3 linked regions of the Styela clava genome follow. The protein of the gene in region 2 binds, or shares a complex with, the protein of the main gene of each other region. Links are inferred from orthologs where the notes say so. Each region holds a gene or a part of one and is shown on either strand. Other genes may lie near its edges.

What was found.
Region 1: the proteins of elongation factor 1-gamma-like (region 2) and elongation factor 1-delta-like are in contact, whole or in part, in a crystal structure (PDB 5JPO), measured with the Homo sapiens proteins. The link is inferred for Styela clava from reciprocal best matches to the Homo sapiens genes EEF1G and EEF1D. Residues at the interface, in NP_001395.1 of Homo sapiens: Tyr9, Trp13, Arg14, Phe40, Gly41, Asn44, Gly56, Lys57, Val58, Ser104, Val107, Pro108, Ser111, Thr112, Phe115, Ile120, Met121, His123, Asn130, Glu134; in NP_001123527.1 of Homo sapiens: Ala2, Asn4, Phe5, Leu6, His8, Glu9, Ile11, Trp12, Phe13, Lys15, Phe16.
Region 3: the proteins of elongation factor 1-gamma-like (region 2) and elongation factor 1-beta-like are in contact, whole or in part, in a crystal structure (PDB 5DQS), measured with the Homo sapiens proteins. The link is inferred for Styela clava from reciprocal best matches to the Homo sapiens genes EEF1G and EEF1B2. Residues at the interface, in NP_001395.1 of Homo sapiens: Leu146, Lys147, Thr148, Arg149, Thr150, Phe151, Glu155, Arg156, Pro185, Asn186, Arg189, Leu192, Thr193, Asn196, Gln197, Pro198; in NP_001032752.1 of Homo sapiens: Ala20, Asp21, Lys22, Ser23, Tyr24, Tyr28, Val29, Cys50, His51, Arg54, Asn57, His58, Ser61, Tyr62, Glu65.

What each region holds. Positions count from the first base shown.
Region 1 is NC_135255.1:3,746,426-3,757,213, reverse strand, and holds elongation factor 1-delta-like, read right to left. Parts: upstream 4,193-10,788; 5' UTR 4,096-4,192; coding exon 3,958-4,095; intron 3,245-3,957; coding exon 3,164-3,244; intron 3,037-3,163; coding exon 2,884-3,036; intron 2,802-2,883; coding exon 2,607-2,801; intron 1,809-2,606; coding exon 1,716-1,808; intron 1,350-1,715; coding exon 1,248-1,349; intron 815-1,247; coding exon 776-814; 3' UTR 722-775; downstream 1-721.
Region 2 is NC_135261.1:11,230,675-11,240,814, reverse strand, and holds the start of elongation factor 1-gamma-like, read right to left. Parts: upstream 5,171-10,140; 5' UTR 5,055-5,170; coding exon 4,896-5,054; intron 3,817-4,895; coding exon 3,715-3,816; intron 2,889-3,714; coding exon 2,793-2,888; intron 1,062-2,792; coding exon 874-1,061; intron 309-873; coding exon 193-308; intron 1-192. Other genes in the region: uncharacterized protein LOC144430572, read right to left, coding at 6,767-6,885, 7,229-7,405, 7,596-7,781, 7,853-8,029, 8,587-8,763, 9,147-9,291, 10,062-10,140. UniProt on the Homo sapiens protein: Probably plays a role in anchoring the complex to other cellular components.
Region 3 is NC_135263.1:4,631,490-4,642,327, forward strand, and holds the start of elongation factor 1-beta-like, read right to left. Parts: upstream 5,158-10,838; 5' UTR 5,079-5,157; coding exon 4,999-5,078; intron 2,868-4,998; coding exon 2,745-2,867; intron 2,063-2,744; coding exon 2,010-2,062; intron 1,162-2,009; coding exon 1,027-1,161; intron 1-1,026. UniProt on the Homo sapiens protein: Catalytic subunit of the guanine nucleotide exchange factor (GEF) (eEF1B subcomplex) of the eukaryotic elongation factor 1 complex (eEF1).

The sequences.
Region 1 (10,788 bases), on a different chromosome or scaffold from region 2:
GTAATGTGTTTATTTTGCCGAAGCAACTGCAGGTGGCGTAATCGCGATGACTGTTTCAGAAGCCGTTTTGTGGGGATGAATATATGTTTTCGATCTACTTTATATGTATTATCACTGTTGTACTTTCTGAGTTTTTATAGCAGATCTTGGGATTTTTTCAACGACGGTCACGATCCCCCTTAAAAATACATGGCAGAAGAGAATTTTGTAAGCATTTTTGGCTGTTTGTCAGATGTACTTGTGGCATAAGAGACCTCCATGTAGAGCTTTAGTTTTAACTAAGGTCAGCTAAGCAGAACGTCATTTTAAACTGATGTACGTACATACACTATTTATTCAGGAACTACTATTGTTCTGAAGCAGCCGATATCACATTTCTTGATCCCAGCTATAATGCACATGCTATGTCTGGTATCAATAGGGTGATCGATCCCCTGGTATATAAATTGGCTATAGGTCCCAAACATCAGGAGATTGTGTGCCTGCTCGTCCCAACATTCATCATGGGATTACCCAGAGATTGATAGATCCGGAATGTGATGATGGCTCATTGTATAAAAATCATTGGTTGCTATGAAAAACCCACGATTTCTATGAAACCTAATAAATCATAATAAATTTGTGCGCACTCAACCTGTTAGAATCAGAACTGGTTCTAAGAAATAGTAAACACAGCAGCAGCACAATTTCAGAGTCTCTCCTATGTTATAAAGATGACAAATTTTCAATAGTCTAAATTTTATTTGCAAGAATTGGATTTAATTAAATATGATCTTCAAATCTTATTGAACGCAACAATATCCACACTTTGAACCTGCAAAAGTAGAGAGTATGAAAAAGGGAGAACATATGAAAAATGAGTGTCAAAAATCCACGCTTATACATTTTTTTATAGAATTACATGATAGGTTGCCTGCGTAACGTAATAAAAATCATACATTAAACGGTTTTTATGAAAAATATCAGGAATTAAAGCAAATTTACAGACAAAAATTTGGTTTTCAAATTGTATAGACAAACATTTTAAGACCAATATCACTTAATTTAAATACCAGTAATACTTGCTGAGAAGTTTTTTGTTCGATTGGTTTGCCAGAAAACATGATATATAATACTAAAATATAACTGTTCAAAATCCTAATTTTTGGTAAACGACTGTGTGATGACAATAACATCTTTTGAGGTTACCCAAGACTTCCACCACTCACCACCCTGCTCAAAATTGAATTTCGCAATAACAAACTCACATGGTCCTCATGACGAGTAATTTCCTCCTCAAGGAAGTCTGTTCCAACTTTATCATCTTCAACAATGCAATTGATTTGAAGTTTCTTGATTCCAAACGCAACCTGCGAAATAGTATATTCTGTACCATTATGATGTTTCAAATGAGCTGAACTAGGCTGCATTTACCGATATGATTGTGCTTGCAACAAACAATGCATACAGTCTCAATATTGTTATGTCATCCAGATGGAAATTTACCAATCAAAAGAATACTTATAACAACTACTTTAGGCATATCGTAATGGCAATCATCAGTTGGTTACAGAGTACTGTTATATTCATATTATACAATATTGCTTTTATAGTTCCACAAACATTAAATTGAATCGTCGTTATAACTAATAAGGTAACACATCAATTGGGCCTCTACTTCAATGTATCTAGCTTGCAGGGAGCAATTCAACTACATAGCAAAAATCTTATACAACCTCTACTAATTTCGATGCTGCCCACTTCAATCCATCTGTTGAGATATTCCTCACAAGTCTCTCCACTTCCCCCATGTCTGTTTGATCATCCCACTGTTAATAATGAAGGTAAGAATTCCTAATTAAAAGGAGACCAATATCACAATCACAAAAGTAGAAACAAGCTCTACGTTCTTTTTATAATTTGTTGTATTTACACTTCTGCTGCAAACAAGGCTATGAATCAGTTGATCTCAAACTGTGGGCGCGTGGACAATTTTTTTCATTATTTACGTTAAATCCACGTATTTTCAACGTTTTTTTGCGCCAACGCGCCTTATCATCAGTTATTTATTTGTAGCTGATTGTTAGCTACTGTAGTTATTTTCGAGGTGGAGCACGAGACTTCACAAATTCCTAAAAGGGGACACATTTTCAAGGTGGAGCACGAGACTTGACAAATTCTAAAAAGGGGGCACGGCTTCAAAAGTTTGAGAACTGCTGCTCTAAATACAAGCCACACATGGGGTTGACCCTAACATCATTAGTCTTGGAAAGTGATCACACTTAAATTCCCTAGTTGCCAAAATATATAGGCCTGTATTGCTAGTAAAATGAGCAACACAAGATCTAATTGATTGCACAAATGGTCCAGTGACATATAAACAAGTACAAAATACATTTATGTAACCTAAACATAAAAGCTATAAACACTCAACACTGTTCAATATAATTCCATGATAATATATAACACCTAAAAAAGTATAATATTAACAAACCACCCAATAACACTAAATGTCAAGCAACATACAATTCATTATGCCAGACAACACATGGTCCTTCCAGTACGTTCTGGATGCTGGAGTAGGTGAAATTCTCATTAGAAAAACCTAAATAATAAGTGAAACTTACAGGTTTGACATCGAGTAGAATGCTAGACTTTGCTATCACAGCTGGCTTTTTAGATTTTTTTTCAGCATATTCCGCCAATCTTTTTTGTTTTATTTTTTCATATTCATCGTCTTCCTCAGAGTCAGATGCGAAGAAATCCATGTCGTCAACATCATCGTCAGATTCTGATTTTTGCTCAATTTCGGTTTTAGAAGGCTATACTTGCATTAAACAAACATAAAAGAAGGTAAATTGATGTTCAGCAATTTGCAATGGACCAACTCATACAATTAACAACCTGCACGGCAGTTTCTTTACTGCCAGACTCTAGTTTGCTCAGTCGTGCTTCCATCGCATTCATTCTCTCAACGAGGGTGTTCACCAACTTCCTCAAATCATCATTTTCACTTCGTATTGCATCGACTTTCCCAGAGTCATTGCCACTAACTCCCTAAAATATAGATTTATATGAAAGTTGGAATAAAGGGTCCTAGTTTTGATAAACAAATTTAATAAATATAAAAAAGTATCAGACATAACTACTATAATATGGTAATCTAAAAAAAACTGCAACATACAGTATCAGATCCCTGTAGTGTTTGATGTATTTTTTGTCTGGCTTGAGCAATTTGTTCTGCGACACCTGAACCACAAGCACCCTAGAATTTCATATAATTAAAAGTTAATTATTAGGTCTATAATGATACCACAGAATGAAAAGATTTTCAAATTTGCACAATTCATGCATAAATATTACAGTATTATGAGACAAGTACCGGTAATATTTGTAAAATCTGAATTACTTTGAAATAAATTATTTCATAAATTATTAACACGTAAGTCTGTAAGTGGCGACTTTTACAGGGTAATACAGTAATATTTTTATGACCTTGCATTACTGAGATGAGAACTCAGACAACAGGTCGAGGATGTTGGTTGGGGCTCAGGATGCTGGGTATGAGTAAATTTAGTAGGGTTCAGACAATTGTGTGATTATCAGAGCATGGTTGATCAGGGTGATTTATTAAAATTACTAGTAATGCTATTTTTTGCTTTGTTTTTCGAATTAAATCAGATATGGATGATGCTTTGACTAGGCTATCATTTATTCAAATAATAGACTAAATATTAAAATTATGCTTAATTCGCCTCAGATATTGAAAAAAATAAATCAGGCTTAATTCACCAGAGAGATTTGACTTAAGAGCAGTACAGACTTGATAATTTTGAATGAGATTTAAAGTTAGGTTATAGGCTAACACAGTTTCATTTCGATTATTTTATCAAGTACATGAAAACGTCCATATTTCAAAAACAACTACAAAACCATAGTAAGCTACCACCACCGCTATTAAAATACTATCACCATCACCCGTTTGTCAGCTTTTGCTGCTGGTTTTACCCGTTGTTTCGCCATGTACACTTCATATTTGTATTCTTCTTCTTCAACCTTTGGTCGGTCAAACCAAACATCCGACAGCAAATGTGAAATGGGGACGGTTGAAGGCATTTTATAGACAATAAAATCAAATCTGATCCACGAAATTAAGAAAAGTTGAAGGATGGAACAGAAACCAAAATCGTGGAAACTGACGAAAATCAGAAGGTGAAAGGTCATGAACACGTGAAATGAAGCATGTTACCGGATGTGCTCAGAGCACCATTACTGCAATATCCGGTGAACAAAACAACTGAAATTTCCAGTCTCTGTAACTCTATCCACCTATATATAATTTTATCTCGAGCTTATAGGTATATTTACTTCTCTAGTTTAGCGTTCCAGATACTTGAAATTGGAAGTATACACTATTTGGAAGGAACAGAATATTTTATGCTCTGCATAACCTACCCAAATTATGCAAAATTTCCTCATACTGAGGGTTATTTATCGTCGTATCATTTGTAATAGATGTTAGTGGAAGGTGTCACTTAAAAGAAATGCCCAGTGTGTTATATTCTCTCTTATACCATATTAGGACTCATTATAGAATATGAATTTCATATTTATAAAATGAAAGGGGAATGCCAATAATACGACTCAACAATATTACGAATAATGCCCTCTCGTCCGGTTACCAGTCAATAGCCGGCTTGGGAGTAGTTTCCATAGGCGTAGCCTGTAAATGAGCGCCCATATAGCTTGGATAACTTCGACAGAGAAATAAATCCGTGGCGAGATTCTTTAAGATGACGTTAGGTATCAATGGCTGCTCGTTCCTGAGCTTTTCGTGGCAAAAGGCGCGACTAAGCGTCGTATTATGCCATATTAAACCTTTCATTCGTTTCAGTCTCATAGACTTGATTGTACGGAAAGCGTACTTTTCAGAGGATACATTAGCCAATGTTCGACGATATTGAGTAAGGCGATTCTCTCGTACATAATGATCCCCCGTGGTATTCAAATCTGTGAGTCCATACAGAACAATCAGAAGTGCGACGACGAGAGTGTTCCCAACGCTTAAATCAACTTGATTGCAATTTCTTTAAAATCCACGTACTTGTGTTAAATACCCGATGGGTGTGGCGATATATATATATATATATAACTCTATTACGGTAGTTAAACGGACCTGCCATAATTGCAGTACTTAAGCGGACGTCGTTCCTGTGTCTGTATCATTGTTTTTAAATACGTACTTGGAGAGCGCGAGAGCCGTTGACAACTACAGAGAAAAAGAGTCAACACAATCCTCTCGATAACAGATATAAAATTTTTGTCCGCTTAATTCGTCCACTTAATTCAGACCACCAAATGTTTTAGCCTATTTCGGCACTAAGCCGGACCCCTCTTATATGTCGCCCTGGATGTCTACATAAATGATGCTGCTTTTATTTTATTACGCATTTTAAAGCGTATGACCTCGCTTTAATTTCCGATGGATGCGAACCATTTAGCATTATTTATCACAGAAAATAGCATTTTTTTTCAATGTTCAGTATTTTGTGCAAGGGAGAGGCACTGTGTTTGGTGTTAGAAATAATCTTCCATGTCAAAAAATACTCAAAATGCAACGTGAAGGTAGACAAATCGAAACAAATTGATTCAAACGTAATATATATTTGAAACTGAGAAATACACAGAGCATATCACAAATGTTCGCATATTCCAACCCTATGGTGTAACATATAGATTAAACAGATGCTATGTTGTGAGTGTCACAAACTTTATCTCAAATGTCCACCTATCCGGCCTTTTAAGTTATCCAAATAATTGTAAATGGGAATTCTGGTATGTCATTAATGAAGACAAAAATCACACAAATTCGATTTCAAATGTTCATCTATTCGGTCACTCAAATGTGGCACGTAATTGAAAAATGAACACCAGCCCTATTGAGAAACATTACACGAAATATATCTCAAATGTCCACTTATCCGGCATTTAAGTGTGGCATATAACAATTAAAATAAAAATTCTGAAATCATATTGAGAAATATTACAAAAAGTATATCTCAAATGTCCACCTATCCGGCCACCTAAGTGTGGCATACAAGAATTGAAATGAAATCTCTTAAATCATATTGAGAAATATCACACAAAGTATATCTCAAATGTCCACCTATCCGGCCACCTAAGCGTGGCATACAAGAATTGAAATGAAAATTTTGAAATCCTATCGAGAAATATCACACAAAGTATATCTCAAATGTCCACCTATCCGGCCACCTAAGTGTGGCATAAAGCATTAAAATGAAAATTGTGAAATAATATTGAGAAACATTACACAAAGTATATCTCAAATGTCCACCTGTGTGGCATAAAGCATTAAAATGAACATTCTGAAATCATATTGAGAAATATTACACAAAATATATTTCAAATGTCCACCTATCCGGCCACCTAAATGTGGCGTACAAGAATTAAAATGAAAATTTTGAAATCATATTGAGAAATATCACACAAAGTATATCTCAAATGTCCACCTATCCGACCACCTAAGTGTGGCATAAAGCATTAAAATGAAAACTCTGAAATCATATAAAGAAATATTACACAAAGTATATCTTAAATGTCCACCTAAGTGTGGCATAAAGCATTAAAATGAAAATTCTGAAATCATATTGAGAAATATTACACAAAATATATTTTGAATGTCCACCTATCCGGCCACCTAAGTGTGGCATACAAGAATTGGAATGAAAATTCTGGAATCATATTGAGAAACATTACACGAAGTATATCTCAAATGTCCACCTATCCGACCACCTAAGTGTGGCATAAAACAATAAAATGAAAATTCTGAAATCATATTGAGAAACATTACATAAAGTATATCTCAAATGTCCACCTATCCGGCCACCTAAGAGTGGCATAAAACATTAAAATGAAAATTCCGAAATCGTAATGAGAAACATTATGCGAAGTATAAATCAAATGTCCACCTATCCGGCCACCTAAGTGTGGCATACAAGAATTGAAATGAAAATTCTTAAATCATATTGAGAAACATTACACAAAGTATATCTCAAATGTCCACCTATCCGGCCACCTAAGTGTGGCATACAAGAATTGAAATGAAAATTCTGAAATCATATTGAGAAACATTACACAAAGTATATCTCAAATGTTCACCTATCCGGCCACCTAAGTGTGGCATAAAACAATCACAATGAAAATTCTGAAATGATATTGAAGAACATTACACAAAATATATATCTCAAATGTCCGAATACCCGACTACCTAAGTGTAGCATACAACTATTGAAACCAATTCCTGAAATCATATTGAGAAATCTTACACAAAATATATCTCAAATGTCAACTTTAGTGTGTGAAATATAACTAAAATACGAAATTTCGAATACTAATTATATTTTGATGTTGTGGAAAATTGCTCAAAATTTATCTCAAATGTTCACCTATCCGATAACTTGAGAGTGACAAATATTATAAAACAAAATTTTGAAACCATATTGAGGAACAATACAGAAAATATATCGCAAATCGTCATCTACTCAGCTACGTAAGTGTGTCATGTAAATGCAAAATGATATTTTGGAATGACAATAATATTAGGAAGCATTCAAAAAAAATTTCAACCATCCGACCATTTCAGAAGGTATGTAATTAAAACACGAAATTCTCTAAAAAAAATATCGAGAACCATTACACACAACATATCTCAAATGTTCAATTAAGTGGCGTTTTCAGTGGGGCCTATAAATGCGAAATGAAATTTTGCCATGTCAACTAAAATGAGAAACATTACACCAATTATAACTCAAATGTCTACCTATCAAGGCGCGCCTAAGTATAGCAGTGATTATACAGTCAACTATACAAGCGATCAACATGAAATTATTCAACCCCGATATCAATTTTGAATCTTTGCACAATTTATTTAAAATTTTTGCACCAACTCGGAATACAAAAACATGATTGTTATTTTGAATTTATAATTAAATAGTAAAAATGTATGCCAAGTATGTATACGAATGTGGATATGCCCACTAGATTAAGTTGTTGAGGAGAGACAAAATTATGTGCTCACTGCCGGTTCATCTTTATGAATTATACAGAGATGTCTTGAAGCTTTACAATAAACTTCTAGCAAGATATACAAAGCCGTGCAATTATTTTTCTTTTCGTCGTTTCTTTTCTGGTTCACGTTTATTTAGAAGCTTTTTTTGGAATTGATTTACAGCCCTTTTCTTTTCCGTATATATGAGTTTCTTTTAAGTCACTTACATTGCTTATTGAAAGTGATTCTGAAGATGGTGCGGTATAGTCTGTTGACTAATCTGAAACTTTGGTCAAAAATACATGCATAAGTCACAAAACATCATCACAGTGTTCTAGTCCAATTCAGAATTACGGTACTCTTGATTGACCGAACAAACGAAGTGTTTGAAATGGGGAATTGCATTATTACTCAAATAAAACAGTGGGGGCTCCCGAAGTATGCGAACCAAGATGGCGGACATCGCAATGTAATATGTGTACTAGGTTAGGGTTAGGCCATAATTCTAGGTATAAATACTACGGGAGGCTCTTGGCTAGTCTTCGAACTGATAATAGGACTAAAATAAGGAAAACTGGAAAAAAATTATCGCCTAACCCTAACCTGTTACCCATGTTACGTTCCGATGTCCGCCATCTTGGTTCGCATACTTCGGGAGCACCAAACAGTGTTTTTAAACGGTGCACTACAATTATTCGTAGATAGCTGCGCTATTTGTGATGGGCTACAATTGATATTATGATTTGGTTTATTACCATTCATTGGTATCAATTTGAGATACCGTGTTTAATTAAAAACAAGCATAGCAAACTAATTTAATCACCTCCTGGCACAGCGTTCTCCGAATCACTACCCGCATTTCCGTCTGCCAAGTTCTGAAACGTAGGCCATCTCGTTGGAGAGTCACTTACATGTGAACAAAAAATACAGCCCAGTAAATAACTAGATGAGGATGGTAAAATAACACAGGGATATGTGCCAAATCACAAAACAAAATTGCTAGCAATGCAATTCTTTAAAACTGTTTTCCGAAGATAAAATATTCTAATCTAATATGAAGCGGTGTATTAGATATTTTTATTTATACAAAGCTATACAAACCTATATAAAGTGGCGTCAACCACTCGCTTCTCGTATCTCCTTCTGTTTCGAGAAAAATTTGAATTCATTGAATTTTCACAATCTTCGTTTGTATTGTCATCTGGATTTAGAAATCCTTCTGAATTACACACTCTTACAAACGCAAACCCAGTCGTAGCAATATTTTGATGGTCAGATCAGAACTACGACCAGTAAAAGCATAACAGTATCAGTAGTCTTTTGATAATCAGGAATAAGTGAACAATCTCAAAAACAAAAATATATGCTAATGATTTGGTTTCTGCAGGACTAACTACTTATCCTTCTTCTATGCTTTTGTGTCGGCGGATCCGTATGCATAAGGATGCTGTAGCAAGAGTAAAGATAACTATCCTACAGTCCTAAGTGATTCAAGAGTCTTGCTGCACACTAACACAATTATATTTCTGTAACGTTTCGTCTGACCAAGATCAGACTCCTTCAGACATACATAGTAAATAAAATTGTGTTAGTGTGCAGCAAGACTCTTGAATCACTTATGAATATAATATAGTAGCCCTAATATTAAAAATCGTTATGACTAATCACCTTATCCGATGAGTGATGATTTCCAGCAGCATTCTTCGGTGACGTTGAAAACCTTGTTTCAAGTTATTATGACTCGACTTCAACTCACTGGGTAATTGATAACACCTGACACAAAAGACTTGGATCGCTTCTCCAAACACAACTGTTCTATTTTATCTAAATTTCTGCAATCCCGCACTCATGAAGATCCCGATCCCCTCACGGCGTCCAGGTTACTTGCGAACAAAACGGCAAACGTGGTAGGTAAAGTTCTCGGCAAACCCGACAGTTTTACTATTGCGACACAAAGCCTCTCTAGTACGGAGTTGTGAATTGAGGTCCTTTTCAGTTTATTGAGCTTATATTGCAAAAAACAGAACGAACGATCTTCATGTTCTGCCTGGTTATTGTATCAAAATTATCAATCCTACTCTCCAAAAATCGTAAAGACATATACCGAAAAATTAAAAGATTTTCGCGTAAACAAAATGTCCGCTTAGTGTACGAAAATAATACCCGTTGATTATAAACCAGCAGAACTACTGTCCCCTCAAAGTTGGCAAAAATATGCAGATATTTTAAAAATATTGAAAGAACATATTGTTTTTGATACTGTTTTATCAGAGAGAAAGAGATTTCAGCAAAAAATAGCAAAACGTTTTAATTATGGAACGTGGAATAATTAAGCGGACAGGAAAATGTCTACCCAATTTTTCCGTCGTAAGTAGACATACCGTGCTAAAAAAGCGACAGTTTTAAAGAATTGCATTGCTAGCAATTTTGTTTTGTGATTTGGCAAATATCCCTGTGTTATTTTACCATCCTCATCTAGTTATTTACTGGGCTGTATTTTTTGTTCACATGTAAGTGACTCTCCAACGAGATGGCCTACGTTTCAGAACTTAGCAGACGGAAATGCGGGTAGTGATTCGGAGAACGCTGTGCCAGGAGGTGATTAAATTAGTTTGCTATGCTTGTTTTTAATTAAATACGGTATCTCAAATTGATACCAATGAATGGTAATAAACCAAATCATAATATCAATTGTAGCCCATCACAAATAGCGCAGCTATCTACGAATAATTGTAGTGCAC
Region 2 (10,140 bases):
GAAATTAAAATATTGTTACGGGAATGATGATATATATCTATTTATTCATCATTCTTTTAAATAAACCACTGATCAGTTTTTTACTTCTGTCTATTTCCAAATTTATGATTATTTTTTTATTCTAATCCTTTTTCCCCACCTGTACATGGTTAAGATAGTCAAACTAGTCATATACGTAAATTTAAAAAATACCTTTTCCGTGAATTTCATTGTATTTTTTCATGTCAAATTCAGCCATTTTTTCACACATAGTCACTTGTCCAATCACAGATTTAAATTGTGGTTGGTTTATCAGTGTTACAAACCACCTAAAATTATATTCTCTGTTAATAAATTAATGAACATTCTGAAATGCTACAGTACTTATTGCTTTAGCCTGCTGTAGAGAGACTTGTTCCAAAATGGATACCATAAAGTAGTTTTATTCATTGTGAAGGAGGAATAAAGAGTTTCAAGTTAGACAAAGCAAAGAATTTATCAAAAAATGTTGGAAACGAACTACGGATTCAGTTCAGTCGCAGGGTTTTATGTGAGATTGTTCAACTGAATGCCGATGGTCCTGTTTTAAGTGACAACAAATCTCACATGATATTTTCAATTTCAATTCACTGATTATGTCTAAAAAAACATATAGTGGGAATACAAAAAAAAACACTGGTGAAATTTCCAATTTGCCATTGTGGAAAACTTTTCACTGACGTCACTTAGAATCATAAAGGGCCATGCTAATAACCATAGTTAAAATGATTGTTTTTAATATGTGATCTTCAGTTATACCAATAATACTAAACCAATACATTTTATATACAACTTATAGCCCATATATAAGTTTGCGGTGTCAATAGACTATCATGCAATAACCAATTGACCTACCTATTGACGTTTCCAAAAGGCTTGCGAAAAGCAGGATCCAGAACAGTTTCATACAGCATGCACAGAGTGCAAGCAAGACTTATATCTGCCTGAGTAACACGCTCACCAACAAGAAATGTCCGTGTGGCAAGGAAACCATTCAATGCAGTGAGTGCAGATTTGATATCAGATTTAGCCTTCTCAGTATTCTAAAATTAAAAAAACTATCTTTACAGAATTTCTGTCTATTACATTGCTATGCAATTTTATATGTGGTGATCGATCAATATTCGAATATCTGGAACCACATGACCTGCGCTACTTTGCTTGGACACGGAACTCGCGCCTCTCCAAATCGATCGTGAATCGCGTGAGAATTCACATTCAGCGCTCGCTAACAGACAAAGGCGACAAATTTGAGAAATCGTTGTCGTTGCGCTATGGTGTGATTTGCTTTCTTTTTGCGCCCAACGTATCGTTTCAATTCCCCATTTTGCATAAACACGTATCGCACCAGACATAAAAGTGATTATAGAAAATTAAAAGTTGAAATTACCTTTTCGAGAAACAATTCATGGTATGACGCTTATAAGCTATAACCAGGAAAGAAATGACAAGCCAAACTTCATTTAATGTATTTTCTATGAGCTCTTTAGTGAACCCTTCCATCGATGAGCAAGTAATTTTTCAAAAAGATGAACATTTTACCAGGTCATGCATGTCCGGTTGAGTGATAAAATCGTGAACGAGTCTAGATCGTAAAATCAATCATGAATTTCGATGTTACAACGCACACTCTCTCGTTTGCGAATTGTTGCGCCTATCATCATCGGAAATGAATACATTCGTTATATTCGAACATTTTTGCACTAAAAAATTAGGACGTGACAGTCACGTGACATTGTCAAAATCTTTAAGTGAAATGGTGAATTTGCAAATTTCGTAACTAAAATTGTGAATTACTCTGAAACGATTTTAGCTATAATGGTTGCCGGGATATTGTTTTGTTAAAAAAAAAAGGTTGAAACTTGAAAAAATTAGTTATAAGAGGTGTCTTGACCAATTTTTCGGCACAAAAGCACTCGAGCGCAAAATGTTTTTAGCATTGGGTCGCATATGTACAATAAAATATTATTCAAGAAGTGCTGTTTATTAACGTCATCTTGTTTTATGACCACCTGGAAAATGCCTTTATTGTCAATTTATTTAATCACATTTCGAATCAACATTCAGGATTGATGCAATCGCTTTGCGAGGTTAATCTTTCTAATACGAAAATAACACAGGCACCATGGAAAAGCATAAGAAAGTTAATTATCGTCATAATAAAAATCTGCATCTCGGTATCGATAATATTACCGCACGCTTAAAATTCGGACGGTAAATTTACAAAAGTTGATAAATAATGAAGACCAAAACCAACGCAACCTGTATAAATAAATCCTCGCAAAAAACAGAGAACGGGCGGGATCCAACTTCAGGATATCGCCGTAAAAACCGGCCAATGAAAAAATATTCGTTATTCGTTAAAAATATTCAAATCATTCGATTCGAAAATTTTTTCGATTTTGCCCACCCCTACTTAAAACCATCTGTAAAGAGCAATTTTTCTGTGAATTTCAGACCAAAATTATTTGAAAGTCATCAAAAGAAAACTGAACTACCCAAATAAAAACTTTGTATATCTCATCAAATAATTTGATACCGAATGTCATAATATGACCCATCCCATACTTCCTGTTTATTTAAGAATAGAATAGGGCATCAGTAACAAGTCTTCAACTCTAGCAATCATTTGAAAAAATCAACACACCCTATTTGTTACTGTGTCTTGATTTTATAAATGGAAAAATGAAAAACAGTGATAACTAAAATATTCTCACATCCCATTTAAGCATAAATTATTTTGTGGTGTAACACTATACAACTCTTATTATTACCTGTTTGTTAAACTGAAGAATTCCTTTGGTCGGATATACCCACGTGCAGGCTGCAGGGAGAATAACATTGTCAGCTAAGCCTATCCATTGTAGTACCTAGAATAAGTCGATTATTTGAGTTCTTGAATAGTGAAGGCTGGGGAATGGTATATTGTTCCCAGCATTGGGAAATGTCTGCCGCTGAACCTCTGATTACCCTGCATGGGTTTGCAGGTTCGAACCCAGTGCAATTAAACAAATAACTGACAAACTAATGATGGCTCGGCAGTGTGGCACATCATGCTAAACTTTAGAAATACGCCCGCCATCGCACCTAGGATTACTTTGCGTGGGTTTGCAGGTTCGAATCCTATGCACGCAAGGACGGTTATTTACAAGAGGATTGCTGGACTCCTCGCCGCCGTAGGGTGGTTGATGAAACCATTGGTCAATTACGGCTTCTTTGATAATGCCGTCTTATCAACTTTCCTATCCCCAGGATATGTAAATCCTATCCTGATACCATATCAAACATGGTCTGGTTACCGAAGACAGGCCAAGGCAAGTCATGTGATTATGCCATCCTATTGACTTTCCTCTCCCCAAGGGTGAATATGAAAATCCTATCATAAGCAAATAACCTTCATCCTCTTAGTAACATTTGATTACTGTATGACAGATAGATGTATAAATAATGATTAAAATAAGGTTGAAAATATGTTCCTGAATACGAAATTAAGAAAACAAATTTTGAAATCCAATTCATTTAAATTGTTGAAAAATATGTTTACTTCAATCCATAAGTAACATAGCCGTTGTTGCAGAAAAGAACTAAACGTGCATGCATGGCAATGGATATAGTAATATTGCAGAATTTTCCAATATTAAAATTGTAGCTTGATTTTGAATCTATATAAAAAATTAGGATGCCAAAATTTCTTACTTCTGCCTCTCTGTCTCCACCTCGGGTTTGTTCGTTTCCAACATAATGAGCAATTCCGTTTGGTTCAAATAGCTTCACATCACCACATTCAAATGCTGGAACCTGTTAAGATATCAGTGCATGCTTTTCAAAGGGTTTAAGTTAAGAATGATGAAAAGTGTTGCGGAGGATGAAAAAATTACTATAATTATTGAGACTTAAGAAAGTTTGAATGGAATTAGTTTTCGCTTGAACTGCATTTAATGACAATATTAAATATTTATAATAATTTAGAAATGTCGGAATGTAGGTTATTAAGTATGAAGAAAGTTTGAATGGAATTAAGTTAGTTTTTGCTTGAATTGAATTTGGTGACAATATTAAATCTTTCTAATAATAAAGTAATGTACCGTAATAAATATGTTTAGGGTCTGGTATAGTTTCGTGCCTCAATTACCGGTACTTCTGATGGGCGTAGAAAACACTTTTTGCATATGTCAATACTAACCCCCACCTGACTGCGTCATGCAAAAATTACGTCACAGTGACGTAATAAGGCCCTTCAAACTATACGAACTGTCATCCAAGACGCGCGCCTAAAATTGAGCTATGTATTTCTGGGTCTCGTGTAGTTTCGTACCTAACGTATTTCTCATAGGCGTAGCATAACAATTTTTTGACATTGCAATCCTAACCCTCACCTGACTACGCCATCCAAAAATTATGTCTCTACGACGTCGCAATCACGTCATAGAGCTTGTCAAATACTCGTATGATCGCCCGAAATGGCATCGGCGCCGACGATAAAGAACTGACTAACGTCAGCGATCTCTCTCCTATCGGGATCGTTGCGACGAGAAAATGAGAAAAATGGCTATTCGATTTCGGGTTCTCGTCTGCGCGTCTTGGATGAGAGTTGGCATAATTCGAAAGGCTCTATTACGTCACTGTGACATAATTTTTGGATGGTGTGGTCAGGTGGGGGTTAGGATTGACACGTGAAAAAATTGTTATGCTACGCATACTAGAAGTACCTTAGGTAGGAAACTACACGAGACCCGTACGGTACCGTATTTCTCTCGTCAAACAGTCAGTCGAAATGATCCCAATACAGCAATATCAGAATATGGGAAAGATCGATAGACCCGCTAAGTTAGCTAGACAATGACAAAAAAACAATTAAAGGATCTTCACCGTCCTACCTTCCCAAACGGAAACTTCTTGAGAAATTCCGCCGATTTATCTGTTTCTCCAGCAACAAAGTTTGGATAGACATTAACTGTCTTCCCGCTATATTGAGCAGCAATCAGGATCTTGTGTGCCCGGAAACTGTCGGGAAATGTATATAGTGTGCCTGACATCGTAAAATAAACTATCCAGAAGTTCTGTACCCAACCAAATTTCGAGATTTTAACCAAAATCGCGAGAGCCGTCAGCGTGCAAAAGTCGGACGTCCACCATGGACAAAAAAGGAGTAAAATGACACGCGGTTTTGTATACGTCATTTTATTCTCCGAATGTCACTACCTGACAAACACTTAGATATACTAGGTATTTTAATTTTATTTTGGAATGTAATTACCTGATATTATTTTACTATTTACTTATTATTAAACACGAACTGAACCTATAGATCGTTTTGTTATTAATAATATTATGTTGTTGTTAGTATTCTGAGTTTTTTTGTTGTTGTTGTTGCTGTGAAAAAATCATTTGTCTTTTCAACTACTGATTCGATTTCTTGAAAATTTTTAATGATCTAAGATTGTTGTTGTTACTAGGAGGCCATTCTGTTATTTGTTCCTATTTATTTATTTTCTATGAATCTTATGAGAGCTTATATTTCGTTCAAAAGTTTATTTATGGGAACACTGTTTTTATTCGTCCAAGCGTGACGACGCAGGAGTTGAATTTGTTTATTGAGGTGTAAGTTGTAAAAGTTATAGGATACGATTTTCGGAGGAAGTGTGTGTAGAATATTTTGTTTTGGCTTTCTTTCGGTGGGTAAGGTTTTTGAACCAGGGGTCAAAAATTTTGCCCACCTAGTCTGGCGGGCAATGTAAGTGTGATGTAAAAAGTTACATTTTATGAACATTATTTATAGTGTTACAAAGCAAAGGTGAAAAACATTAAGCCTCCTAATAAGACTGAATTTAATCGCAATTTCAACAAATTCCTTGAGTTATTTTAGCTAAAACATCAAAATTTGTTTTTAGTTTGGTTGTCACAGCATCATGCGGGCCAGATTGAATTAACCAACGGACTGGAGTTGGCTCGTGGGCCGTACTTGGCCCATGTCTGGTCCAGACCTTTAGTTATCACGTAAAATTATCTTGCTTAGTTTGATTCTATATAAATTTTGAAAATCCTGAGCGTGTATTTTTTTACATATCCGATGAAATTAGAAGCATTCCCGTTTGAAATTGCGTTTATCACTGAAATGAAAGCCCATTTTTTTACATTAATTTGTGACTTAACGTGTAACTGAAAAACAAGGTGGGTCACTTGTTACCCGCTGGTCAATCGCTCGCCATTACCATATATATATATATAGTCTTAATTGAAAAATACCGTACTCCTAATCTACTATTATTCTGAAGTGGACGGCAAAGTTTATGTAGTACTTGACCAAATATGCACATTGACGGTAGTGTTGCGCGTTGCGCCTAATAAATGCTGCCTTAAACTCCGTGTTACATACATCCGTGCTTAGATATTAATAAATTGATGAGCAATTTTTATTTTATGCATTTAAAATGAGGTCGTTCGGGGGTCCAAGAATCGTTCATGAGCTCAGTTTGCCGTCCACTGCTCTACTAGAGTCAAGGCAATCTTCTCAGCTCGGAGCGCAGGGTATTACATTCGGTACGTGAACTGTAATTCTTGCGCTAACCGGAACTGGAGAATACAAATTCATACTCGCGAGTCCAATATACCGGTATGTAGGCCACCGTTGCATGATTATTTATTTAAAGGTTCAGTACAAATAAAGCAAATAAATTCAAGCGTTTAATACATTCACCACATAATTATTCGTGTCGTGAGATCTTGATTTAATATTGAATTGCATTTATTAGTTGATAAGACTTAGCATCCAGTTCAGCCAAGTTCGATTATCGCCTTGCAGAAGACTTCGTTTTACGATAGGACGACGTGGTCTGGAAGGTCTTCTCCAGTCTCGTCTCGACGAAGCTACAATATTGATAAACATTTGCCAAATTCTTCGTTCAATTCAAGCAGAACTTGAATCAATTGATAATTATAGTTATCTAATATACCACTAAAAGTTTATATTCCATACGTCCGGATGCTTATGCCACAAAACTTGATTTGGAAAATTCTGTAGACGACACGTATTTTGATGAATTCCATCATTTGTCATTTTATTACGCCTTTTATTTTCTAATAATATACAATGTTCCAGTTAGAACCAAAGCTAAAGTTCATGGACTGGACAACACGCATTTTAATGAGTCACATGTGGTTCAATCCAGTATTGTTGCGTGACTTAATATAACCCATTAAGATGACATACCTTTATTGCATGTAAATTTTGGCGTTGTCCACTCTCCATTTGTGCAATAAACCAATGTGCGTCCCCGTGGTTCATGACCACGTAAGCATACATACACAACAAGTATTTGTTCTCTGTTGAGTCGCCTTTGTATAGTTGTGCGAGCGTTTTCTACGGACGGTGGATTTTGACAACCAGCTGTAAACATGTATATATAACGTGTTATGCTTTCATGACTAGTAGGGCGATGTGATCAAATTTTCCTTTGACATATTCAGAAGTGATGCTTCGGCCCAGAGAACGTTTCTTTCTGTCCTTCTTGCTCTTTTCGTTATTTTCAGTAAATCTCTAAATTTTACAATAAATTCATAAAATATTTGGAACTTACCGTGGCATGCGAATTCAGGACTTTCCCACTCTCCGTCCTGCCCACATTTTATTCTTGGTATTCCACTCAGTTCGAAACCGTTTTTGCATCTGTAGTAAACATATTGTCCAAAGCGTATCTGTCTTCTAGTGGACACAAATGATGTTAATACGGCGTTTTTAACAATGGTTGGTGCTGGGCATGTTCCTAAACACAATACAAATATAAAACATTAGTTAATCGCATTAACGAACCTAAGTATATAAATGGCTTTTTACCTGCACAAACAAGGCGAGGTTTAGACCAAGTCAAATCATATTCGCATCGTGAAAAGGCATGTCCTCTTGCTCGGTAGCCCGGCTTGCACGCATATTTGACAACATCGCCAATAAAATATCTCTCTTGTAATAAAGGAACTTCCGCATTTTTCACCGGAGGAGGCATTGGACACGAAACTTGAAAGAAAGAATAAAAACAATATAATAATTTATTTTAATCTAGAATGATCGAAAGACTTGGATGGATATCATTAAGATTTCTTGCTATGGTATAAATTAATGTAGTTTCATCAATCTTTAATATTTGGTAAAAAGGAGACAAAAGAGAAAACATATCATGTGGGACATCTGAAAATATAAAAAGTCATCTCAAGTAAAATTTTCTTTAGTTTTTGATAGTTTTTTTCTTCTTTTCGTTCATACTATGTCCATTTCTAGTTGCTATACTTAAAAAATTTGGACTTCTTCATTTTTCCATAGATATGTCTGCTCTTAATTTTGAGTAAGGTCTTATTCGCAATAATATTCATAATTCAAGTTTAATTTTATCTTTCCATCGCGACGAATTTTGGATTATAATATTTGTTCACGAGGAATCCAAAATTGGTGGGCATATTTTATTGCATTCGTATTATAAGAAAATATAAATAAATATAGTTGTTCGTTTTAGTAACATTGTAAACCTTTTTAATTAAATACATTGCTATATGTGGATATAAGTAGAGGAAGCTCACCAATACAAGTAAACTGTGGTTCTGAAAACTGTCCATTTTCTTGACAAACAACATGATTAGTTCCATACACTCGATACCCGTCTGTGCACTGATATTGGACAAACTGTCCAACTCCATATGATCTTACTGGATCAATCACAGAGGCATGATCAATTTTGGGTAATTCTTTGCAGCCGACTAAAGATTGTCAAGAAATTCACACTGGATTATTTATTTTATAGATAGTATTATTTAAAGGTATAAAAAGTTTTGTTAAATAGCATTAAAGACTCTGAGTTTATTGCCAACAAGTATCTCCAAAACTTACGTACAACGTTTCATGAAAAAATGATGAATGTATAAAGTAGAGAGGTATGTTTTCGATAAATACTTACGATTATGTACTTATACGGAAACGTGGAGAAATGTGAATTAGTTGTTTAAATTCGAAGGACATTCGAAGCTGGCCTTCCCTGTTGTATGCTGTGGGGCCAAGTCGAACATATATCCGACAGTTTGGTATACCAAACAATGTCATTTAATGGTTTATTTATACTAATGGAACTTTTGTTTCTTATTACCTGGAGCCATTTTGCAGGTAAATTTGATCCCATAATGACATGGAACGTCATTCCATTGTCCGCTTCTAAAATACAGCATGACGACACAGTGTTCTAAATCCTGTAACAAGCTGTTCGGTTGTCCTGGTCGCCAATGTTTGTAGGTCTACATGAAAATGAGTGGGCGCGTTGGATACAGTCAGCCAGGAGGTAGTTTATTTTCCCGCAAACCAAAAGTACACATTGGACAAACGTAATTGAGAAAGATAAAAAAATGTATTGAAGGGAAACGCGATAAACCAGAGATGGTTATCGAGCAGCGTCACCTTTGAGGCAGTGAGTCTAACATTTAATCATACTGAGAAAGAAGTCAAACATAAAATACTAACAGAAGCAGCACTTTGAGACACATTCAAGCTACCCGATATCCCGGTGTCACTCTAGTTAATAGAAGAAAACGACTCCAGACACGCCAGGCCGCAGTACAGCCTTCCTTCACATAATGAATTGGCGTTTTAATTAATTTGGGCAAGTACTTTCTACGGCCACGTAATTTAAGGGCCTATGGCATGAGAGTGAAACTCTCATATGGCATTGAGGAAAGCCTTGAATCAGAAGAGAAATATTGGTTTATAAATAAATATAAATGAAGTTTCCTCTATTATAACTATACTAGTATAGACTGCCCACGAATCAACTTCTGGAGTCTGTTGGATTCTTGAATGATTCACCACAATACCCATTGTGACATAGTTGTCCATCGTCCAATTTACAATATAGTGAAGACGTAAAAACCAGTATTGATTGATTCATTGACAGTTTTATTGCATTTATTATTCGTCTTTCTATTTTTGATTTTAAAATATTATTCATTTTAGAAAACCTGTCATCAATGTCAGTGATAATTATTCTCACAAACCCCATTTGGAAACTCACGATTGGGCTTTTATCAGACCATACAAATTTTGCTTCTTCGTCCAAGTCATTGAACCCAATCCATTGATAATCCAAAGCC
Region 3 (10,838 bases), on a different chromosome or scaffold from region 2:
CAAAATATTTACGCACCTAGACTGGTGGGCCATGACAGTGTGACGTAAAAGTTACATTTCATGAAAAATATTTACAGTGTTACAAAAGCAAAAGTGGAAAACACTAAGCCTCAAGACAGAACTAAATTGAATCGCAATCTTAACAAATTCCTTTTGGTATTACATAGGTTATTAACATCAAAATTTGGTTCAAGGTATTTGCGCCTGATGTGGCAGCATCAGGCAGGCCAGATTGAACTACCCAGCAGGCCGGATTTGGCCCGCTCGCTGGTTATATGACATAATTCATCCAAAATCAACAGCTTCTGGTTCGAGATAGGATGACTGCACATGCAAAATTTGGAGCAGATTTAACCTCGCCTTCGTGAGATATCGCATGCATCTAACAGACAGACAGACAAATACCTATCAACATATTTACCGATCTAAAGATCGATAAGTAACAAACAAATACCTAACAACATACTTACCGAACGAGATCGATAAGTAATAAAGAGAGTGTGGCCCCATGCCAAAAAAATTTGTAAATTTGAAAAAAAAAATCTATTTATGCACTCAGTCCTATCGATCCAGAGAGTTATCTCAGCATGAATTACTTTGTTCATAGGTTTCATCCTTGTGCACTGGGGGAGGAATTCAAAACTCAAATTTAAAAAAAAAATTGGTTCTATCGAGATTGGGAGAATTGGTTCTTTGCTGCTATCGAAATTTCTTTTCTGATTATGTCAGCCTCAGATTAGTCACTTTTCCTGCTATGGAAATGTATTGAAATAAGGGTAAGACTCCATGCCATTCTAAAGATGGTGGATTTTTACATGTCAATGACAGTGCTTTTTTCGAAGTGAAAGGTAAGAAAACGTTATAAAAGAACTGAATAGACTTGTATCATTCTCCACAGCATAATTTTGACAAATGTCGAGCCCGAAAGATTTCATCGTTACAAAAATAGTAGTTATATGTCAGTAGCTACTGCCTACACAAAACTGTGTTCAGAATGGTAAATGTCCTATAAAAAAGTAAACATACTTTTAGCTTTCTTTTCTGCATATTGCTTGAGTCTTTCCTCTTTGATTCTCTTTTGTTCGGCTAATTCTTCTTCGTCGTCGGAGCCGAAGAAATCAATATCATCATCACCATCGTCGCTGTCGTCATCAGCAGCGGCTAGGATTGAAAAAAAATTATTTCTCAAATTTTGAAAGTTTAAAATCTCGAGATTATTCCAAAGTGGAGGCGTAGTTCTTACTACTTCATGGCAGCTCCTGCCACGAACGCCCCGCAGCGTCTCTTGCCATGGTTTCATGGCACTATTAGCGGTATATTAACAAAATCATGTACAATATTTTAATTATATTTACTTAAACCTCAACCTAACCCCAAATACATCAAAACTGTATTCATACGAAAAAGCGTTCCAACTTACCCAATATTTATCACCATCAGGGGCAGCCCTGCTATTACAGCCGACATGCCATGGTTACGGCAGCAAAAGTGGTGGTATTCGATTTACTGCCGTAGCCACGGGAGCTCACTATTTTATTTCTCAAATTTTTGAGTTTAAAATCTCGAGGTTACTACAAAGTGGGCAAGGCATTCAAAATGTTATGATCGGAAAAAAGTATTTTTCAAATTATAAAGTGGTTTTATAATACGAAATATTAAATCACTACTACTTGGGGTACATGAGCTGGTTTTTGAGCACATAAACGTTAGTATGTATGTATGTTTATTTGCCTCAAAAATATAACAGTATCTGCATAATAATTGAACGATATACAGAGACGGGATACATGTTCAAGACCTTACTGGCCTAAGACACGGATGCGCAATATGCAATACAATACAAAGAGGTACGCCACAACGATATGTACAATAACGTTTCAACCGAATAGATGATTTTATGTTAAGTTCTGAACATGGACAAATTTAAAGTCATTTTTTAGGATATGTATGAAGTATGCATAATATGAAAGCACTTTTATGTAAAAATAATAAGATAATAATATTCAAACCTGCAGCCTGAGCACCTCCATATTCAGCAATTGGTTTCTTCACTCCAGGAAGGCTGAAAGTAAAAGTGACTGTTTTTTACCTTATCAAGATGAATCAACATAAATAGGATCTAATCCAATTGAGATAACTCGCCGTGCGAGCCGCTAGTTTACAAGTTATCAATCCATTCACATCATTTTGATGCATCAACAAACATTGCCACCACACTATGTAAGGGCGAGTGCAGGATTCCAACTACTTACACTGCCGCTGGATGTATGTAGACCGCACAATACAAAATTTTATTTGATTCTCAGACTTGGGAGGGTATAACACTACACCAACCCTATGTTGCTGTGCACTCAGTCCTATCGATCCAAATTATTATCTCAGCATGAAAAGCTTTGTAAATAGGTTTCATCACTGTGCACTGGGGAGTGAGGTGTGATCTGACAGAATCACCAGTCTTTCAATCATAATACCATTATCCCGACCAGATGCGCTTCGATTTTCAGTGGGGTCCAAATTGCCCTAAGGTGTCTGCAGCAGGATAATCATAGTTAGGCACACTTTACAAACGAAGCTACGGTCTCAACTTACAAGAAACTTCGGGTTGAAAATACTTAACTATTGACCATCAAATTTAATTAACAAAACTTTTGGCATATGTAAGACTTCTTTAATAAAATGCTGAGAACGATAGTAAAACCAATGTTTTATGGATTATAGTAGAAAGTTTTGACTGTTTTACCAACCTTCCAAATTGTGATTTGTATGAGAGAACATGATTGTACCAACGTAACGCATGAACATGCTTGGCATTGGGTGGGCCGGATATACTTTCAAATATGGCAACATCTCCTTGTGATGGAACATACCTAAAATTTAAAACAAATATCTTATTTTACTGTGTGAACATGTTGGTAAAAAACTAAAGGGTCTCGTGAAGTAAGCGTAACTGCTTGAATATCCGCAAACACAAATGCGGTGAGTACTTCGATAACGCCAAACATAAATGTGATGTGAAAATAGAACCCAGATTTTCAATTTTTTATAGAAATGAAAGTCCGTCTTGCGCAAATTTCACATCACATTTTAGTTGGGCGTTATTTAAGCAGTTACGGTATGGTATCTACTTCACTCGATCCAAACTAAATGGCAATACCGGTAATGTAATACCACCTTGCAAAATTTAATTACAATTCAACTGCCAGAAAATAAAAAGATAGCTGCAGCCCCAGCAGTTTTTAAATTAGGTCAAGACAGGTTTCCAGATGTATCAAACCCATGAGGCCTTTACTTCCTCATACACTAATTACAAATCATAAAACGCAGGAAAAAGTTTTAAATGAATGTCCAATAACTGAATAAAGTTCAAAAAATCTCAATACAGCAATACCGTAAAAGCGCCTAACTTCGGACAGTTCCTAACTTCGGACAAAATTTTTGAACGGCCATATCTTGGCTAAAACGCGCCGTATATTGGTAATTTTAATTATTATAGGTTGCGCTGTTATATCTACATCTATTCTCATCTTTTTTAATGTTGCATTTTTATTTTTTTGGTGAAAAAACGGAAATTTTGCCGAAAATTGACTGCCCGCCATTCAACGGCGCAGAGCGTCGCTCCTACTGAAGCTATCCTCGTCAAAATACCATCATTCGGTAGAGGGCGACAACAATGTATATAATTCATTTGAGTGATCGCAAGATGTCGTACGAGATTTAAATAAAACCTAAAATTCTGAATTATAAATTCCGTAAGAATATTAAGATTTCACGCAGCGTCAAAAATTACGTCAAACTCACGTAGATTATTTTTCGCTCACTTCCGACACGACGTCACACTGCGTCGCGGAAATGAATTTTGACGCCAGACACAACGGAGCCAATATGACAATTTCCGTTAAGATAAAGACGGCGTTCCAATGTAATATTTTTGTATTTTGTTCGGTCATGTATGAATATATGCCAAAATTACATTAATGAAAATACATGTCACACTTAATCGATGACGTTAAAAATCGAATATATAAAACTATGGAAATTCCAACGTCCATATGGCACAGTGCACTGACTCGACCATTATTTTATGATTAGTAGTCGAAATGACAGTTATTGAGGCCTGGGTGAATTTTATTCACTCGAAATTAAAAATAAATTTAATCTCCAACAAATAAACGGGACCTACATGTTTACAAGATTAAGTTGAATTTTAAATTAAACTTCACAATCGGATTTTCCGTGTGTTTGATATAAATTATCATTTATAAAGATAACCGCGCAGAATAAAAATATTAATACTTCAAAGACTTCGATAGAAGCCCGTTAAAATACTTCATTGTGGATTGAAACGGTTTGCATCAGATATATTTACGTATGCATTTCCTGATTAAAATGACTAACGTGTTATTATACTCATCTGAAGTATCGAAAATGACGAACGAAAGATGTAAACATAGGACGACGGAAGTTTCAAATAATGCATTTTCGTCGTGACGTCAATGTTACGTTACGACGACGATCGAGCGTCTTATCTTCACGCAACGACGTGATTACGTCATCCGCATCGGAAGCCTCTTTCTCTCTGTGCGTCGCGGTTACGCAGTGAAGAAAATGACTGTCCGAAGTTAGGGCAGTGAAGGATAACGGTCAGATGGCAAGAAATATCGATTATTTCAATAGTAAAAATAGTCCAATTGAACCGAAATTTGCAGGGAATGTAAATTACCGCACGAATTTGCAACGTTTGGACAATAAATGGCCGAGTTATTGACGAAAATATAGTAATTTTGTCCGAAGTTAGGCGCTTTTACGGTATGGGAAGATAACTATTTTTTAGGAAATGTTGATATTTTTTATATAGAAATCCGTATTCATTGTAATCCCTACAGTATTTGCAAGCATGAATCCCAAAATATGTTTAACTGTTCGCGTATGACGTCACTGCCCTGCCCACCTTTTTTATGCCCATTTACACGAGATAATTTACAAAAAAATCAAGCTCACCCTTCGATATAGCTTTTATCTTCGAGATAGGTATTTAGTGCAGATAATCCACAGTCACTCTTCAAATTTCCGAAACCCATTTTAAAGAAATTACGGCGATTAAACAAAAGAAGAGAACGAAATCCAAACCAAACGCGTGGCAAAATTTGGGAAAAGGGTTCTTCAGTGAACACGGTTCATTGCTTTGCCGATAAACCGTGGTTTCGTGCCACGAAACAGATTTTGGGCCGAATTTATCCAGAAAATCAATGACATTAAACAACATGATGCGCAACTCCGGCATTTTTGTCCGAAGATCGTATTCGATAGCACGCTCCAATGCACATACTTGACGAGACGAAAACGAGCGGATGTGTGCTGCTTTCAAGGCGTAGCACGAATGGTGTTCGTGCCTGCTTTGACAGTTGTTGTCGATTTTAATGATATTTTGGAAAGTTAAGGTAAAAAGAAATCGGAAAAAGGTAAGGTAAATACTATTGTTGTATATCACACCCGGGCATCGCACTGTTAAGTACATGTGGGAAAGTCAGCCTTTGTCAAATACTACGAAGTTATACATGCAGTACGGTACGTGGTTGCCCATTTGCCGAAATTACATATTTACTTACCCCTTATGGTTTCAAATAGTTCATGCACCTCCAGTTAGATTTTTTTAATCAGTGAGGATATATACTCATTGTTGATTGCTGCTCATTGTAACATACTATTGCGCATTCACTTTTATTTGCGTATTGAATCAAAGTGTTAACAAGTCCACCTAACATTTCACTCATACCGGTCTATATTGTATAGTCTGATCTCTCAAATATTTGGAGCCACGAATGCTTGTAATTTTCTGACTAAACCCTTTTATTAGTTTGTTTTATTGACCAAATTCAGTAAAATATTTTTTACATAAAACATGAGATATTGGATTCATTAGCTTTTCCATTCTAAATCATATAGACTGCTTTATTTATTCTTAACGAAAATTAATAAATCTCCTCTCTTTCTTCAGATGTGAAAGTTGTGGACAAACCTGTCTAAGCATTGTGAGACTCCTGCAGCACAAGAGGCAATAGCAGAAATAGTAAGTATATCAATCAAGAAATTAAGCCGACATAAAGCAAAACTTTCAATTATTCGTCTAATCACAATTTCCTATTATTTATTCACAGAACAACTATAGCAGAAGGGGAGATATCAGAAGTCTGGCGACATATCAGTGACATGCAAAGACATTTGACCCTCCGGTAGAGTTGTGTATGACCCCTACATCCTGATTCCTGCAGGGCTTGAGGAAAATAACTAAAAATTGCAAAGCGTAAAATTACATACTCGGTCTTATTTGTAAAGAGGCACAAAACACGCCAGACATACTTGAAACAGCTTTGGAAAATGAGGATTACGGGTAACTCACTGCACCTGTGTTATATTTGGTTCATCACCTTTTGGTAGTACTATAGAAGAAATTCCGGAAGGGGTATAATCATCATTCATGATAAAATACTATCATATATATTTTTGGACAACTTCAATCTAGACCAGAGATCTCAAACTCGCGGCCCCAGAGAACTTCGAGTGCGGCCCTCGAACGCTTAACAATAATTGTAATAGTATTTTTATTTTTTTTTTATCTAAATGTAATAGATTTTTCAAACCTTTTAAAGTGAAATTGATTATTCACACAGAAAACAATTTACTGAAAGTAGTTTTGGAATATGAATTTTTTTTGTCCACATTTTGACCCAATTAAGAATACACATCAAGCTTGCAAAAGAATACTTGAATAAACACTTGAGTGATTAAATTAAACGCAAAGTACATGAAGAAGGTGGCATTTTCGAAGAAAATGGGAGTTGTAACTTTTCTGCTTTTCGCAAAATTGTCATATTTCTATCAATACAATGAAAAAACACAATAAGCTCAGCAGTCAATATGACAAATTCGAAGACCCACTTCGAACAGAAAATTTCCATGTGTTTGTATATTAATATATTTATACAACGACTTAGTTACTAAAAATCAATATCAATAATAATTCAAGCAATCCTATGCCACGCAATGTGGTGCGAAATGTCTTGTCGAAAAAATCTGTCATTTGTTTTTTTACTGATCTACAGTATACATGAAATGATAAAAGTACTTTTTTTGCATTACTGGAATTGATTAAACATTCGCAAAGATCCAGATTAACCCATGATCATGTGGCCTCGTTAGTTAGAGTTGGTACTATAAAATCATTTCAGCCTGGCCTTAGTATGCTGGTGACACAAAAAAGATGCCAAACGTCAGGACAAATGTAATTATTAAAACATTGAGTTTATACTGTAGTATTTTTGTTAATTTTAGGTTCATATATTTAGATTAAGTTATTTTTAGTGTATGTATTATTCTTTCCTTATTTAAAGCTTGTTCAAAAATGATTTTGATGGTTGTACATAGAATTTTATGATTTTTCATAATAACTACAGTAACTTGCAAATGTTGCAATAATAGTGGAATGCAAATATTAATATGTAATTGCATTTGAAATTGAAGAAAATAATAAAACTTAATCCAACTGTTTAGTTGCATCACAATATATGTCACAAACTAAAACTATCTTAAAAATATCTTTTAAGTATACATTATCAAAAACTGTTTGCGGCTCTTTTTACAATTTCCAAAATGCAATGCGGCTCTCGAAAACCCATAAGTTTGACACCACTGATCTATTCTAGACGATTCAAGCATTGCTTTGGGAAATAATATCACTTCAATTAAATTGAAATAATCTCGCTATATTAAATACAAAATCGTTGCTATCATAAAGGTAAACCAATTTAGCCACTCGAAATATATTGGCCTTCACAAAACAATGGAGGCAAAATTGAGAGTTCATGAGCTATGAACATTTGTTCTTTTCTTTGTCTTGAACTTTTCATACTCCACAGCCCCTATTAATTTTTTTTAATTTTAATTACCATGTGATGGTCATACATATCTTTAACTTGTATTTTCTGTCATGATGTATTATCTCAATGTGCCAAACTATTAATTAGTGTGCATATTTTGCTTCCAGATGACATAAATGTATTGTCTTGTTTATTACCTCAACTTGGAGTATTGACAAGAAAAGGTACCAGTAAATTAGATAAAAAAAATTTTAACTCTTTGTTATAATCAGAATTCACAATCAATAGGAATTATAAACAGCCAACCATCAATGAGAATGATATGTGAAATCCCTCATAATAAATTTGTCTAAAATCGGAGGAAGGCAAATAATATAGGTAGTTTCCATCCACACAAGCATTTCAAGAAGACTTGCTCGAGCCAAACTAAATGAGCATCGTCAGGTGGTCGGTAAGGCTGCAAGTTGAATTCAGCCCTGCAACCTACCGCATAGAAAATAATATTAATTAGTGGGCTATGAGCTAAATTCCTAAATTTAAACAAACCTATCTACGATGCATTATGTACCAGCAATGTTACCTACGATTAACTGAATATGTAATATGTCTAATAAATTCACCTACAAAAGCAAGTTCGATAGGTGCAAACTTTGTGTTATGGAATTGTATCACAGCACAATTTTGTATGACACCCTCCTAAAAAGAAACTTCAATGATTAAGCGCAAACATTAAAATTACTAACTTTGAACTTTGTCATTATCTGCAAAATGTTCCACACAAATCTTTCCGCTATCGCGTTTGTAATCTTCTCTGATAAAAAAAAAACGTCTATGATGTCCAGAATTGCTCTTTACAGCTTGCCTGCCATTCCAGCTTTCCAAGTGAGCAAAACTTCTTAGATATAGAGATTATTTTGTTTCGTTACAGACGCAAAAAGACAGGTACTACACGTAAAAAAGACGCCGAGTAGCAAAAGCGAGCGGAAAACGGACGCGAAAGTCGACGAGAAATATGTGCATTGGAGCGTATCATGAAATACAATGTTTCGCCTGTAGTCTTATGGAGTGACGTCAGAGTTGCCTATCATGTTGTTTAACCCTTTCCATGCGATTTTTATTTTTAATTAAATAATCGTATTTGCTACGCCGATTTTACGCATTTGTACCCCCACAACTAATCGATCGACTAACGAAAAACTAATGATCCTCTGCTGCCCACTGACGGCTCGTTGGAAATCTTATTCAAAGAGCTTGCAATTGGCGATTGAAAAAAAAAGTTTTTTTAAAAGTGGTGGTCTGAGTCACAACCCGGATAGAAAAAAGGCATTTTTTTTTCCTTGGGAGTTGAAACTTCAAACCGTGATAAAAAATAGAAATATTCGCTAAATCCTTTACTGTTACCGTTTCGTGGTTGGCAAACAATAGCATAATATTGCTGTACCAATTTCGTGATCTAACTCAAAATACTTTGGTAGATGGAATGGATAATATGTCTTCTATTACCACCCAAAAAACATCGAAATTTGCATAAATTTCAAAAACACTCCCTCGTTCCGCCGCAAATAAAATTCCCGTCGTAAACGAGAGCGAGATTTACCGTCGCTTATGTTAATCTCGAAGAAGACTTCTTATCAATAAACTAAAACCCGGAAAAACTAGACCAACAGTTTGCGACCGATTGCTAAAGAAAACAGTGGAGTACATCAACGTACCCGCCGCAATCTAGCGACTTTTGTCGTTGGTACGTATACGTGCCCACCGCACGGAAAGGGTTAATGTCATTGAGAAAATGAAGTGTATATGTACAAAGCGATTATTAATGAAAATTGCAGCAGCAATATTATAGATTAGTTTACTCTATAAATTTAAATATATAAGATGGTTATGCGTTATCAGTATGTAACCGTAAATTTGGAAAACCATCACTGCTTACATCCCCACCACCACTGTCGAATTGGAGATGGCATAGCCTACTAAACAATAAAACTAGAATGCAACAGAATAATTTCTTGTTTACAAAAGTCCATCACGCTTTGAATTTGAACTGCATGTATTTTTATCTACATAGTTTTGCAAATATTGCCTGTCAGTTCACAATGGAGCAATCCAGGTCTTCGTCATTCCTTCACTGTAACAATCCGGCATGTCATAGACCGTATTGTATCTGATAATCTCGATAAGGTTATTCGTTACCAAGTGTGATTGTTGTGATTGTAATAAAATTTAATTAATTCAATATATTTAGATGGAAAATTAACTTGGTAATTGTTTACATATACAAAATTTTACTTTCTATAGAATGGAGAAAATGCGTCCGGTTACAGCACTTAGACTGCTTGCGGTCAACAATAGTGTTACGGTCGCAAACGAATAAGAAACCGAAATTGTGATTATTTAAATGTTTCTTTTCTTCATAACGCTAATTAGATCAATATTGCCACAATATATAATTCTAACAGTAAAATCATGTTTCGTTTGGGGTTTACCTGAATTCCCTTTACTTTTTAGCTGTTGATTTCGATATTTTTTGTTCTTGGCGCGGCGGTGTGGCTCAACGGGCTAAGCGTTAGGGATACGCTCGCCACCGCACCTCTAATTACTCTGCGTGGGTTCGCAGGTTCGAATCCCATGCAGGGATGGTTATGTGCGAGAGGATTGCTGGACTCCTCGCCGTCGTTGGGTGGTTCACGTAACCGCTGGTCGGTTACGGCTTCCTCCACCACCAAGTCCATGCTTCCGAAAACAAACAATACAGTAAAAATAATCCCATACCCGACTTGGAATGGTAAGCGGACGAGAGGCCGTGGTTCGCCATATGGATAAGCCGTCTTATTGGCTTTCCTCTCCCTCGGGATAAATATGTAAATCCTATCCCATCCTACTGCATTAATGTTCCTTCACTCGATTAAGATTATTAAAAAAAATTAAAAGCGATGGATGACCAATGAGACGACACCGTATATA